2 linked regions of the Medicago truncatula genome follow. The protein of the gene in region 1 interacts with the protein of each later gene in a pairwise test. Links are inferred from orthologs where the notes say so. Each region holds a gene or a part of one and is shown on either strand. Other genes may lie near its edges.

Evidence for each region.
Region 2: the proteins of probable WRKY transcription factor 21 (region 1) and 6,7-dimethyl-8-ribityllumazine synthase, chloroplastic interact in binary tests that used the Arabidopsis thaliana proteins (3 or more experiments, as listed by UniProt). The link is inferred for Medicago truncatula from reciprocal best matches to the Arabidopsis thaliana genes WRKY21 and COS1.

What each region holds. Positions count from the first base shown.
Region 1 is NC_053042.1:35,168,936-35,176,792, reverse strand, and holds probable WRKY transcription factor 21, read left to right. Parts: upstream 1-4,835; 5' UTR 4,836-5,082; intron 5,083-5,504; exon of another isoform or gene 5,505-5,508; 5' UTR 5,509-5,524; coding exon 5,525-6,336; intron 6,337-6,437; coding exon 6,438-6,563; intron 6,564-7,196; coding exon 7,197-7,341; 3' UTR 7,342-7,622; downstream 7,623-7,857.
Region 2 is NC_053045.1:46,659,648-46,667,233, reverse strand, and holds the start of 6,7-dimethyl-8-ribityllumazine synthase, chloroplastic, read left to right. Parts: upstream 1-4,409; 5' UTR 4,410-4,561; intron 4,562-4,669; 5' UTR 4,670-4,688; coding exon 4,689-4,842; intron 4,843-5,403; coding exon 5,404-5,519; intron 5,520-6,741; coding exon 6,742-6,837; intron 6,838-7,586. UniProt on the Arabidopsis thaliana protein: Catalyzes the formation of 6,7-dimethyl-8-ribityllumazine by condensation of 5-amino-6-(D-ribitylamino)uracil with 3,4-dihydroxy-2-butanone 4-phosphate. This is the penultimate step in the biosynthesis of riboflavin.

The sequences.
Region 1 (7,857 bases):
CAATTCTATTATAACGAGCTTATAGTTTATTTCAGGAGCTTTTAGCTTATTTTCTAAACGTTATTTCAAATAGCGTTTGAGCTTATAGCTTATCATTTTTTTTCTTCTATTTCTACCCTTGTTATTTTATCTAAAATCCATTTTTACCCATTATCATTTATTAATATAACTGCATCATAAATATTAATGTTATAGTGAGTCTTGTATTTCACTAATCACACGACTCAATATGGTATTATAGTCTTTTTAGTATAGACCAATGGTTTGATCCGATTAGAAGATACCTTGTGGATGTTGCAAAGGTATACCAATCATAATAAAGAGATGAAGTCCAAGAAACTTGGGGAAATTATGTCTCGATCACATGACAAAGGTTATTTTTTCATGAAGAGCGAAGTTGTAAAGTGTAAGGAGTCTCAAACGCATGTGTCCCGCTTGTAAGTCTAGTGAGCAACGTGCAAAATGAAACATAGTTCAAATGTGTTAGCCTCAATCATGTGCACGACATGCGTGCTTTTGTGTGCAACATGCACATTTATCATTTAGCGAGACGCGCAACGCGTGTGATGTTGTACGGGGTGCGCATGTATAATGTAAAATCCGATTTACTTAAGCAAGCACTCGCCTAAATAGAAGGGTTTCAAATTTTGACGATCCATAGACATAAAGTGTGATGTCATTGACCTAAAGTGGAAATTTCCATCCCTTGTCAACAAGATTGAAGACCTTTGCTATTCTATTTGTGTGTGTAGCTCTTTAACCTTTTGATTATGTTGTTTATTAATATGATAAGTAGCTAAACTCATTAGATTTAGATTTAATGATGAACTTGTATGATATTGTTTGAACCATATAATCTATAAGTCCTCTGTTAAGGTAATTTGAACTATGCTTCTTCATTATACCTTGTGGTTATATGCTTTCATTGCATGATAAACTCTAATTGATTTTAGCTTAAAATATGGTTTTAGTCCCTGCAAATATGCCTCGTTTTTGTTTTAGTCCCTGGTAAAAAAAAAATTGTTTTTGGTCCCTGTAAAATTTTTTGTTTTTGAAAATAGTCCCTCCAGGGACTATTTTCAAAAACAAAAAATTTTGCAGGGACCTTTTTTAAAAATAAAATATTTTGCAGGGACCAAAAACTATAAAATTGGTTCAGTTATAATGTGTCACGTATGCAAATCATCACAAAAGTGGGGTCAGGGACTATTTTCAAAAACAAAAAATTTTGCAGGGACCAAAAACAAATTATTTTTTTACCAGGGACTAAAACCAAAACGAGGCATATTTACAGGGACTAAAACCATATTTTAGCCTTAATTTTATGTTGTAATTCATTATTACCACTAGGTCTTGTAACCGGAACTAGGCACAATGTTCTCTAACTAATTTATATAGATATAGGGAATTAATTAGTGCGGCTAATATATTAACGCTTAATCAAACTTTTGATAATATCAATTTCACCTAAGAAATTAGAGTTTTATATTATAGAAACCGTACCTTGAACCAAGAATTTGATCTTGGTCTATTTTTTAAATTGTCATGAGCAAAGGTATCAAATTATTTTTTTGTTTAGGACCTAGCATTACCAAGCAGGAACATAAAGAGGATTCAAACCATCTTAAGCTCCTGTCATCATTCTGAATTAAGTATTTATTTAATTTGATCTGCAAACCAACTATGAATGCAAACACCTCCATTTTAATTTTTAAATAAACATAGTTTAATTGCCTATTAGAAACAACAATTCATGTGGATATGAATCTCTACATATATTATTATTTGACGATGCATTTAGTACATTTGTCAAATAAGTCCATCAATAGGCTAAGTTGACTACATTAGTCTACATCAAGTCTAAGTCAGGCCATACTTCTTTGAAAATAGACAAGATGAAGATTATCTTTTATATCAAACAATAATAACTTAAGAAATCACAACCTTAATTGTAATCCTATACACTTCAAGTCTAAGTCAGGCCATACTTCTTTGAAAATAGACAAGATCAAGATTATTTCTTATATCAAACTCGTCGAACAATCAAACAATGATAACTTAAGAAATTACAACCTTAATTGTAATCCTATACAATCACAACCTATCAACATGTTTATGTATGTGTTGATTTAGTTTCACAAATTTTTTGAATTTACATTCATTATATCGTGATGCATGTAACATACTTTACGCGGCTCTAAAAAAAAATGTAACATACTTTAAGCATGTTGGTTCAATTTCACAAAATTTTGAACCCAGATTCATTACACAATGACATATGTGACAAATTTTCAACGCATGAATGCAATGTCACAAATTTATGAGCTCACGTTCATGGATTTGAGAGAGAGGGGGGGGGGGGGGGGATATCAAGTGAGAGATAGACATAACTTGATGAAGGAGGGAGAAAGAGACAATGAGGGGAAAGGAGAGGATCCAATCTCGATTTGCACATTCATCTCACTGAAAAATATATAACCGTTTTAAAACGTATTCACAAACAAATAATACTTGAAAAAAATTCAATAGTATAGGCTAAGCATGACTATTACTATTTTACCAATTTCTAAAATATTAAAAGTTTAAATAAGAATTCATACTATATTTGGCTATAAATATAAAAAGAAATATCAAATGTATTTTGTTTGAAATTCGGTCTAAATATATTTGACTATTTACAATGACCTATGATTTTAAGTGTGTTGGTTCAATTTCACAAAATTTTGAATCCACATCCATTACACACTGATGTATGTGATAGGTATTGAACACGCCACAAAGTTTTGAACTCACATTCATCTCACTGAAATATATGTAAATGGTTTTAAACACATTCACAAACATATAATACTTGGAAACAAATTTAATAGTTTGGCTAAACATGACTACTAATATTTTACCAATTTCTAAAATACTAAATAGAGAAGTTTAAATAGGAATGCATAATCTCTTTTGTTATAAATATACGGGGGAAAATCAAATGTATTTAGTTTAAATTCGGACTAAATATATTTGACTATTTACGGTGACCTATGTAACAAGTTTTAAGCGCGCTAGCACAATTTCATAAAATTTTGAACCCATATTTTGAACGCGTGTATTCAACATAATAATTTTTTGAACTCACGTACATCTCACTGAAATACATGTAACCGATTTTAAACGTGTTCATAGAAAAAATTATTCACTAGTATATGAAAGGCATGACTACCAATATTTAGCCAATTCTTACAATATTAAAAAGAGAAGTTTAAATAAGAATTTATAATCTCCTTTGTTATAAATATACGGGGAAAAATCAAATGTATTTGGTTCGAAATTTGGACTAAATATATCTGACTATTTACAGTGACATGTGTAACAGGTTTTAGGCGCGTTGGCTCAATTTCATAAAATTTTGAACCCATATTCATTACATTGTGGCGTATATGGAAGATTTTAAATGCGTGTTTTCAACATAATAAATTTTGAACTCGCATTCATCTCACTGAAATACATGTAACCGATTTTAAACGCCTTCACATACACATAATACATGGAGGAAAAAATTCAGTGGTATGCTAGGCATGACTACTAATATTTAGCCAATTCTTACAACATTAAATAGCAAAGTTTAAATAAAAATTCATAATCTCTTTTGTTATAATTATACGGGAAAAAATCAAATGTATTTGGTTCGAAATTTAGGTTAAATATATTTGACTGTCTGCAGTGATCTATGTAACAGGTTTTAAGCGCGTCGGCTCAATTTCATAAAATTTTGAACCCGCATTCATTACTTTGTGGCGTATATGGTAGATTTATAACGCGTGTTTTCAACTCATTGAAATACATATAATACATGGAGGAAAAAAAATTCACTAGTATATGTTAGGCATTACTACCAATATTTAGCCAATTCTTACAATATAAAACAGAGAAGGTTAAATAAGAATTCATAATCTCTTTTGTTATAGATATACGGGAAAAAATCAAATGTCTTTGGTTCAAAATCGGGTTAAATATATTTGACTGTACATAGTGACCTATGTAACAGGTTTTAAGTGCGTCGGCTCAATTTCATAAAATTTTGAACCCGCATTCATTACTTTGTGGCGTATATGACAGATTTTAAACGCGTGTATTTAACCTAATAAATTTTTGAACTCACATTCATCTCACTGAAATACATGCGTGTAACCGATTTTAAACGCGTTTACAGCACATAATACATAGATGAACAAAATCACTATATTTAGCCAATTTCTAAAATACTAATTAGAAAAGTTTAAATAAAAATGCATGCACTCTTTTGTTATAAAAAAAAATACGGTTGGTTCAAAATTCATATTAAATACATTCGACTTTTTACTTTATATTTAAAATTGATTAAAAAAATTAACCTTAGCCCATTCAAAATTTTGTGAAAGAAATTAAACTTAACCAGTTTACTAGTTTACTCCAGTCAAGATAAACTTACTTTTGAACATTGAAAGAACACATCATATAAGGTAAATCCAAAACTATTTTTTTTTTAAGGAAGGTAAATCCAAAATTTCAAACCAATAAAAAAAATCAGAAACACAGTGTAATAAATTGAATCAAGAAGTAAAAGTAGTAAAAGTGAAGCTGAAATGGGTAGGTCTAAAAAAATATTAATTAAAGCTGAAACAAGGGAAGAAAAAGAATAACAAAGGTCTTCATGTCGGTCCCACCTTCAAATCTGTGACAGAGACAGCAGTTTCATTTCTCAAGCTGTTTCTCATGCTCTCTCTCTCTCTCTCTTCTTGTGTGTGTTTTTTTCTTATTTAAACTCTTAACTCATCTTTTTTTCCCCTCTCTCTCTCTCTCACTAGAGTATAGCTACAAATATAAAATTGTTTTATTTTTTGCTTGTTTCTTAGGACTTTTATTTATAAATGTTTTTAGTCTAAAGTTAGAACCTTTGTATTCTTATGTGTGTGTGTGTGTGTGTGTGATGGTTGTGTGAATTCTCAAAGAAACCAAAGTCCTCTCTTCACACCTTCAATCTCAAACCCATGGAAACATCAACAACAACAACAGCAACAAGATTCTAGGGTTTGACAACACAAGTTCATCAAGGTTTGTCTGCACTTTGATATTTTTTTGTTGGTTTTTTTTGTCACATGAAAATTGGGTCTTTTTTTATTTTTTTTTATTTTTTATCTTTGGTCTTTTTAATGTAATGTTGAAAGGCACTATTAGTTGATTCTGATTCATGGGTCTTTTTTGTTTCAAAAAAAAATTCAACCTTTATCTTCTTATGAACTGAAATTTTGTAACTTTAACTAAAAATAAAAATCCTATTTTTGCGGTTCATTGTCTGGTGAAAAATGGGATTTTTTTCATCTGGGTATTTTTATCTTCCACATGAGAATCAATGTCTGATATATTTGTGGATAAATGAGATGCTTTCTTTGTGTTTTGGTGTGTTCTTCTTTTGATTTAGGGACTTAGTTTTTTTTTTTTTTTTAAATATTTTTATTTTCTGAATTTTGTTATAGATAGAAAGAGAGAGGCTAAAATGGAAGAAGTTGAACAAGCAAGCAGAACAGCTGTTGAAAGCTGTCATAGAGTTCTAAGTATGTTGTCTCAACCAAGGGATCAAGTTCATCATAGGAATTTAACTGTTGAAACTGGTGAAGCTGTGAATAGGTTCAAGAAAGTTGTGTCTTTGCTTCATGGTTTGGATCATTCAAGAGTTAGGAAGCTTAAAAATCTTCAAAATGTTCCTTATCCTCAAACTGCTTTCTTAGACAACCCAAATTGCAAAAGAAACATCATCAACCATCACACCAAAAATGTTCACTTTACTCAAACTACCTATCCTCAAAATTCAGTTCAGGAACTTGGTTCAACCCTAAGAAATCCACTTTCTCTTGGAAACCCTTCTTTGGAATTGAGTTCGAACGGGAAAAGTCCGCTTCACCTTGCTCAACAAGCTGCATCAACTCACTATCAATTCTATCAGCCGCAGCAACAGCATCATCACCAGCAGCAGCTGCAGCAACAAAGGTTGTTGATGCAGCAGCAGCAACAGCAGCAACAAATGAAGCATCAAGCTGAAATGATGTTCCGAAGGAACACCAGCGGCATAAGCCTTAATTTTGACAAGGCTACTAGCAGCACACCAACAATGTCGTCTACTAGGTCTTTCATTTCCTCCTTGAGCATAGACGGAAGCGTAGCAAACGTTGATGGAAGTTCCTTCCATTTGATAGGAGCTCCGATCTCTTCAGATCAGAATTCACAGCACAAGAGGAAATGTTCTGCTAGAGGTGATGAGGGAAGCTTGAAATGTAGTAGCAGTTCTAAATGTCATTGCTCAAAGAAAAGGTAATTCTTATGGTTGCTACATTAATGGTTAATTTCTGTTACTTTAAAGGTTTAAGAAACCATTATAATATCATATTAATAACTTTATGTGTTCTTGACAGGAAGCATAGAGTGAAGAGATCAATTAAGGTGCCTGCTATCAGCAACAAGCTTGCGGATATCCCTCCTGATGATTACTCGTGGAGGAAGTACGGGCAGAAGCCTATCAAGGGCTCTCCTCACCCTAGGTATGCCCAACCGTTGTGCCATTTGAGATTTAATTTTATTGATTCAAGGAGCAAATAAATATGAATGTGTTGTGATAAACAATAATTTTATAAAACTTCTGAACTATTTCGTTACGCTGCTTGGTGTACATTTATGATTTTATCTTAAAGTATGTTGACATGATCTGATTGATGTACTAGCCTGTGGGGATTTAAATAATTTTGGTCTATGTGTGGATATGTAATATGTTGATTGGAGTTCTGCTAATATATTCCTTTGTCCATGTTTGTAATTTGTTCTTAGTTGGTATTCTGGTTGATGAGTACGTTGTATAGAATTTAAGTCGTTGAGAAGGTCCTTGAATGTTTTTATGCACTGTCAACTTGTAGCTCTTCATTTTTTCATTACAAATATCATATTGACAGTTCCATTTGTTCAATAGCCCCTTTTTTTTAACTTGAAAACATGTTTGAGAAATCAATTTGGCAATTTTGATATTCTAGGTGTAAACTCAATCTTAACCTTAGTAGCAAAATTTATGCTTCATTATTTGCACATTATTGTCAATTAAATGAAGGTGAAATGTGAACTACAACTCTACAAGTTTTATGTGTGATGAAACTGATTGTAATCTCTTAATTTTGTTTCTTCAGGGGCTATTATAAATGCAGCAGCATGAGAGGCTGCCCTGCTAGGAAGCATGTTGAGAGGTGCTTGGATGAGCCTACTATGCTAATGGTTACCTATGAAGGCGAGCATAATCACGCCAAGGTACCAACACAACCTGCAAATGCATGAACTACATGGAGAGTCACATTCAATTTGTGAAGACCTCTATGTGATTGGCTTGAGATGTTTCTGTACATATTTCAAGTGATGCGAGCAGGACTGCAGATTTTGCCTTTTGGGTAGCTTGGTTGGGGAGTCGTTTATTTAGAGGGAGTGATGAAGATCACTGGTTAAGTGCAGGAGTATGTAAAATTGGATAGTTTCAATTCGTAAGAACAATTTTATTTTTCTTAAGTATGTCATTAAACATTTCAGGGTTCTCTAAATTAATGGAAATTGTCTTTGGAAAATGGCTGAGTTCTTTCAATTTTGTTTTTCGAATCAAGGCTCTAGCAAATTGATTGTCGTAGTGATACATCACAGCAATTGATTCTAGTAACTATAAGTATCACATAATCTAAGTGGCATATACATAGTATGGTTATCTTTGGGTGTTAAAACAGCTTAAGCTAGTTGTTGCGTTTGGAAAACATACTTTCTATAGTGTTATTGCTGCACATTCAATGTGAAGCTTCCTTTTGTAGA
Region 2 (7,586 bases), on another chromosome or scaffold:
TGTTCATAAATCATGATTTGACGATGAGAAATAAGTTGTTGTTGTTGTTGGTTTTGTAAAAATGGGTTGATTTGGTGAATTATGTTCATATGGCAATTGTTTTCATGTTTGATGTGTTTTAGTTGTTTTGACCTGTAAACAAACTTTGGAAACATATTTGGGCATTGGGAGATCAAAATTGGGAATTTTGGGTGAAAAAGGGTTGAAACCCGTAATATTTTTCTGCAGAATTATGACTGTTCGCTTAAGCGAACGAGTAAGCGAACAATCACAGTAGGTTTTGTGACTGGTTCGCTTAAGCGAACCGGAAGCGAACTTTTGTTGTAGCTTCTGGAACTTTGTTCGCTTAAGCAAACAAGGTGGTCGCTTAAGCGAACATGCTCAGTTTCAGCAACCTTTGATTTTCGTTCCGGACTTTAGGGAGCCAATCCGAACTTTGTAAAATGCTTCTTTCAACTTGTTTAACTACTGTTTGAACTCCTAAATCTATTGGAACATGTTTTAAGATTGAAACTTGAATTTTTGGGAATTTCAGATTTTTGTCGGAATGAACTTTTGTGAACTAAATGGGATTATAAGTTGGGTCTACAGTTCATATAGACTTAGACAAGACTTGTAATCTTGGTCAAACATCTTAATCATGCTAAACTTGATATTTCAGGTGGGAATGAGGAAAATGTGAACTTGGGTTTTCTCATACGAACTTAAGCTATACTCTGAACTAATGTCTAATATTGTAAGTGACTTAAGCTCTTGATTACATAATTGATTAAGATTGAGTTGTGAGTCTTCAAACTTGAATAAGTTACTTTATTTTGGGAATTATCAATGTTGGCTGTTTGCCACTTGAGACAGACTTTATCAAAAATGATTCTTTGAGCCAAATACCTTATAATATTTTGAGATTAGTTTGATACGATTGAATGAAGATATGTGAGTAATTGTGAGGTCTTAAATATGATATTTATCATTAGGTGTTGTATTTTCCTCCTTTACTTGTATTATGAAAAGTTGTATGAAGTTGTTGAACTATATGATATAGTTGAAGTGGATTAATGAATACATGTTGATGAATTTGTGATATTTGGTGATGACTCTTAATTGAATAATGGCATGTTGATTGTGTGGATGTAAATGCTTGATAATGCAATTGTTGTTGAAGTTGAGCAATGTAATTGGAGGTGTACTTTTACATTGTGTTGTTGTATGTTGAGTAGTTTGCATTATTGGGTCTTTGCTTATGTCCATGCATCATTGTCATATCATGTCATATGTGAAATGTAAAAGGAGGTGTACTTTTACATAGTTGTGCGTAAGATGAGGTGTACTCTTACATAAGATGTGCGGTTGGCATCTTGTTGTTGTTATTTGGTACCACATGCATATATGTGTCGGAATTAGGCGCATTGCATAATTAACATGAGTTGTAATTGTTGCATGTGAATGATAATTGTTGAAGATTGTGATGAGATTGTGAATGATAATTGTTGATGATAAGTGTGCTTGGTGAATACTTGATCATGATATTTGAAATTGTTATGTGAATGTGTATATTGAATTAACTGTTTATGTGAAATACTCGGAATTGACTTTAATTCATATATGCTCAAATCTATTTTATTGATTATGATTGATGTAAAGCTTACCCCCAGTGGTTTTGACCGCCTACCTGTCTGTATGGATGGGTAGACGACGTGCAGGGTTAGTTGCTTCGGTGAGTTGCTTGGTGCTTGGTCGAATATCGGGAGCTATCTCCGGTATCGGTTTCTTAGAGTCTAGGATAGACTCTAGGTGTCTGTTTATGATTATCTAAATTATCTGTTGCGGACTATTTATGTGTTGGAAGTTTCCCCACTTGTCGGGATTTGGAGAATTTTTATATTGAGATATTTTTTTATATCATGACATGTATACCTTTGAGATGTATGATCTTTATCCGCCGTGACTGTTAAGAATTTTACACATGCATGTTATTTTGGATTTTGTGATTGACGTGACGACTATTTCTTGAATATTTATATCATTCGCGTATTTTATCACTTTAATAGAAATAGGGCGTTACAATCACTAATCTTCATACGAGTCAACGCATGATATACTCCTTTGACAGAGCATCTTTCGTCGAAGTCAAGTTTCTAATTCCACTTTTCCGACACATTGTCCTACAAAAAATGTTATACAACAAAGAACAATATTATTCCACATTATCTTCCTCATAAGCATGAAACCTCCTACTCGACCTTCCCTCAACACCCTCCCCGCTGCAGCCAAATATACATGTCTTTTCAACTGATACAAAGTGATTCTCGGCTAACTCAAAAAGTTTTTTAAATCTATCACATAAAAGTCTTGCCATAAACTACTTATCAAACCAAAAAAGTGAAATAACCTCATTGCTCACTAAGTTTTCGTCAATCAGATTACCAACCTCCAATCCTACCCCCTCTTATGCAAAATAACATTGTTCCACCACATCAACGCCTTACTCCCCTTCTTTCACTTGACCACCCTCCATATCGCAACTCGCCATTTAAACCATACACTACAAACTCCTTAATCCACATGCAACTTCCAACATTATTTACCTAACATAAAAATGATTTAGCCCTCAAGCTATATGCACCCTTAAACCACGTCTACTCCGACAAGACACACCTTACTCCACTTTATCCAATAAATTTTTCTAGCTTCCTCACCCCTACTTCCATAAAAATCAGTTAAAAAGAACAAAGAATGAAATAAATTACTCCCCACGTTTTATAATGAGTGTCACTTTACATTTTCAATTCAACTTTAATTTATTTTTTCAACTTTAACCTCAATAAATACTCCAACTTTTCTCTCACAATTTTCAAGGTAACTTTAAGTGTGTCTTTCTCTAATAAAGTAAGGGTGATTTAGTAAAAGTGTTATGTCTATTAATTATTTAATTCTATTTCTTAATCCATGTGTCAAAATCTTAAACAACAGTTATTGTGAAACAGAGGGAGTAGTCAAGTAACAATAACAAGATAAATCTAAGAAGAACCCGTCGATTTCCTAAAGAAAGACTCTTATACCAAACATAATATTTATACATGTGCTCTTGATAAGTTAAAAAGTTGGATTTCAACGTGTTCAACCAAGGAACAAGTTGGTGTATGTGTTATCTTCCACACGGTAAGTTTTTCTTGATATGATCAAACGGAGGATACCACAAACATAACCTATCAGGGTTACCTCTTATAACAACAATCACCAACAAATATAATATCCGAACGTATACTATTGAGTGTCGTTTGTTAAGAAGCAAGCTAATAAGGTTGCTCATAGTATTGCTAGAGCATCCTTATCTCACCCTAGCCTCTATGTTTTCAATGATGTACCATCTACCATGTACTCTTTATTTATGAATGAAATGCACTAAATTTTACTTTGCTAAAAAAAGAAGAAGTTAAAAGGTACGATTTCAATGCGTTCAACCAATGAATGAGTCGGTGTATATGTTATCTCATTTATACTCAACATTATGCTTCAATTTTTCCCTAAAAAAAAAATTATGCTTCAATTTGTTTTGAACAATAAAAAATGAACATTATGCTTCAATTGATCAATTCATTGTTGTTTAAGTATCTATTCAAATATTTTCTTGTGTTAGTTAAGCTATCATGGTTCATGCCTTTTTGCCCTGTAAAATAATAAAATGTTCCATGCCTCAATTAGTCCAAAAAACCACGTCACATGCCCTTTTTTAAATTTATTTAATTTTTAAGGAGTTTTTTTTTTGGTTACTAATTTTTAAGGAGTTTTCATCGGTTTTTTTAAGGAAATTTCATCGTTAAGATTTAACCTCTGCAACATGCACGCATCTTTTGTCAAAATAAAAACGTGCTTCACATCTTTAATACTAAAACTTACTTAAAAAAAAAAACTCTAATACAAAAACTTTTTTCTTTAAAAAGAAATCATTAATAAAACTTTTCTTGATCCTCTCAATTTTTTTTTTATATCGCACAGAATAAAACTTTTGTTGATAAAATATTAGGATTGGCTGTTTCTGTAAATTTTTTAAAAAAATATCGTAATAAATAAAAGATTTTAAATCGAATATATGAGGAGAAAACAAACATCTAAAAATTTCGTCTAACCATTAATCTCAATTTTTTTTTCCTTTCTTTCGACATGACTTATTTTTTACTATTTTCAGTTTCCAATAAAAGTAAGAATTAATACATGTTTATATTCGATTAAATTGGTAAAAGATGATTCACTCATAACGTTTTTTTTTTTGTTTGAGGAAGATTCACCCCGTAAATTGTCGATTCAACTTTCACCACAACTTGATTTTTTTTGCACACATCAAAGACCTTTCAATATCTTAAACTTTAGTTAGGTCATAAGCTTGCGTTATCAAACTCGGCGTCGCAACTTATTTGTAAATACATTGGTTAATTGATGGTGCGTGCAGCTTGCCATTGGAGTTCCCTTGGGGCTACTATATATAATCCTTTTCAGTTCAGTCCTTCTTCTTCATCTCAATCAATCAGAGTCAAACGCTTCAACAGTTGCATCTCCATTTCCGGTGAGAAATCTTCTTATTCTTTTCTAATAATTTTGATTACATCGATTAAGCATTTCCACTATTTTAATTCAACATTACATATTCATTGTGTTCCTTCGTTCATTCTAGGTACACTGTTCTATCATCAATGGCTTTATCTGTTTCCACCGATTGTTTCCTTCCCGCACTTGGATTTGTTCATCATCATCCCCAACATCGTATTGCTGCTCCTACTAACTTCTTCAATCTTCAAAAAGCTCCTAAAACCGCCACTTCCCTCTCCTTTTCGCTTTCTATGCGAGGTAAGCTATTTGATAGCTGATAAATTGAAGTTCGTTAACTTAGTGAATTGAATATGCTGTGTTATTAATTGAAGTTGAACTAGTTGATAACGGAGATAAAATTTGAGGATTTTAAAAACATTTAATGAAATGTATAGACTATTCTTCAAAGAGGCGCAAAATTTAAGGACTAAAAAAATATTTAACCCTTTTAATTAATAGATATATATATTTTTCCAAATAAAATACCAACGGGTAAAATTGAGAATGAAATAAGTTATAAGCTATAAGCTCAAACACTACTTGAAGTAGCTTATAAAAAAAGCTATAAACTATATAAAAGAAACTACAAGCTCGCGGCAAAAAATTGTTACCAAATTGGTCTATTTTGATCATACGAGCTTATAAGCTAAAAAACTGTCTTGCCAAACAGAGCCTTAATACTGTGATAATCATTGTTGTTCATGAATGGTAAATATATTTTCAGCATGTTTTATCATGCTCCTTACTGTGGCAATTTCTTTTCTTGCTTTGATAATGTTTTATTTAGTGGCTGAACATTTCACTGCTTTCCTTATATAGCTTTAGAAGTTAAGCCACACGCTCAGAGCAAGGGCCGATCATCTTTTGCACAAACAGATGCTGTGAAGCATCTGACAGGTTCTGTTACTAGAACGGAGGGACTTCGTTTTGCCATCGTAAGTATGCTACAAAATTTGATGCTTATCTATTTCATGCAATGCTTTTGACAAACACTAGCCTTTTTGAGTCTTATATTATTTCCCTGCTTTTTAAATTTCGATAAGAATACAAATAGGGTGTGTTTAGATAAAAGCACTCATTTAATAAGCTATTATGGGGAAGTTGTTGAAATAAGCTAAAAAGGGTATATGCTATGTCTTATGTTGTTTTTATAAGTGTATTCAAACACTAGTTCAAATGCTTATTCATGTGACGAGGTTAAATAAGCTTTTCCAAATGCTTGCGTAAAGTTAGGAACAGAAAGCAAAAAACAGACCACACTACCAATATGAATGATGTACATGTCTTGAACTTAGGATTTCCATGTTACTTTTAGTTGATTTATGGGAAATTCATTGCATTCAAATATGATGTCTGAGAGCAGCAAGCACGCCAATCTCTATGCATTTGACAAAAAGTACCCTCTAAAATACTCATCAAGCATAGAAGCCAAGCACCACATAAATTTCGGGAAGACCACTTTGTTCCATAGAAGCAACAATGCTATGAAATTATCGTTGAAGTTCTGGCCTTCTTTCCAATTATAGTCATCAAACTAAAGAACAAGTTACGCATCACCAAAGGATTTTCTATCTTTCATCCTGCCAAACCTTTTAAGTGGCAGATAAAAAATTGATCCAAATGTTTGGACAATTCTAGTTTTCTTCCAAAATACTGAAAATTATGCACCACAAATATCTTATTATGGTCACAACACGGGATTTAGGGGAGAGAGAGCTTTGTGTGGTCTACTAACCTGTAACAATCATTTGTATTATTACTATTAAGTACAACTAGCCATATAAATGGTTTTGTGTTAGAGGGAATCTTGGGTCTGGCCTTCTAGAGTTGAATTCCAATAATAAAGTTGTGTTGTCTTTTTGGAGAATGAATGTTGAAACTCCAACAGAGTCTAGTGCCCAAATCCCGTTTTCCAGACATGAGAGGATTTTGTACTGCAAGGAAGTTGCTAATGGGATTGCTATACGTAGTGGATAAACAAAAAAGGTGGAGATATGAAGTAGTGAAATAACTTAAAATGTCTACCTTGAGGAAGTTATCATATTCTGCTTCCAGATTTTTCATTTATTTTCTATTTAAAAATGGATTATAATCATGAAGATTTTCTTATCGTTTTATGTTTCTTTGCTAGTTTCTTTCTAAACACTTTTCTTTTAGGTTGTTGCACGGTTTAATGAAATAATCACTAGGCCACTCTTGGAGGGAGCTTTGGGTACTTTCAAGAATTATTCGGTTCAAGATGAAGACGTTGATGTAAGTAATCTGTCTTGTATCTCTCTCTTTTTTTTTAACAACAGTAATCTGTCTTATATGTTAATGGAAAATGACTTATTAATAATCTATATGCTATATTACTTTTGTATTCGGCAGTACCATGTGGACTTAATGTTAACTGTTTCAGACGTTATTACAATGGTTCTATTTTCTTTTTTGAAGAATTTACAATGATTGTATTCTACCGTTTGGATTCTGATAACTTATATTTTATTACTCATTTTTCTGTTCATGATGCATCAAGGTGTTCACTGCCTTGCTTATATTGAAATATGAAGTAAAACAAAATTATGCATAGCTTTTCCTTTTCCCCTGCTCTCATACATATCCATCACTTGACAGTTGCTTCTATGATCACGGCATGAAGAGAAAAATGTCTTTTCATTCATTCTGAAAATACTGAAGTAGTACATCTATATGGATTATAGAGAAAAATACAGGTGTAACAAGGAGTGCATTGCTATGTGTCATGCAGCAGAAACTAACCATCTAATATATTAAACTAACTATTGGAATCTCAAACTAACAGTTTTTTTTGTACTGGTAACCAACTAGATGAAGTTGTTGCTTCCACTGACTCCATTGCATGTGGTGACTGACAGTTTGAATTTAAATTTCAAATTGAAAACATTTAGCGTGTGGTGACTGACAGTTTGAATTTAAATTTCAAATCGAAAACATTTACCATTTCTATGTTAATACATTACGTTCTGCATTTTTCATTTGTG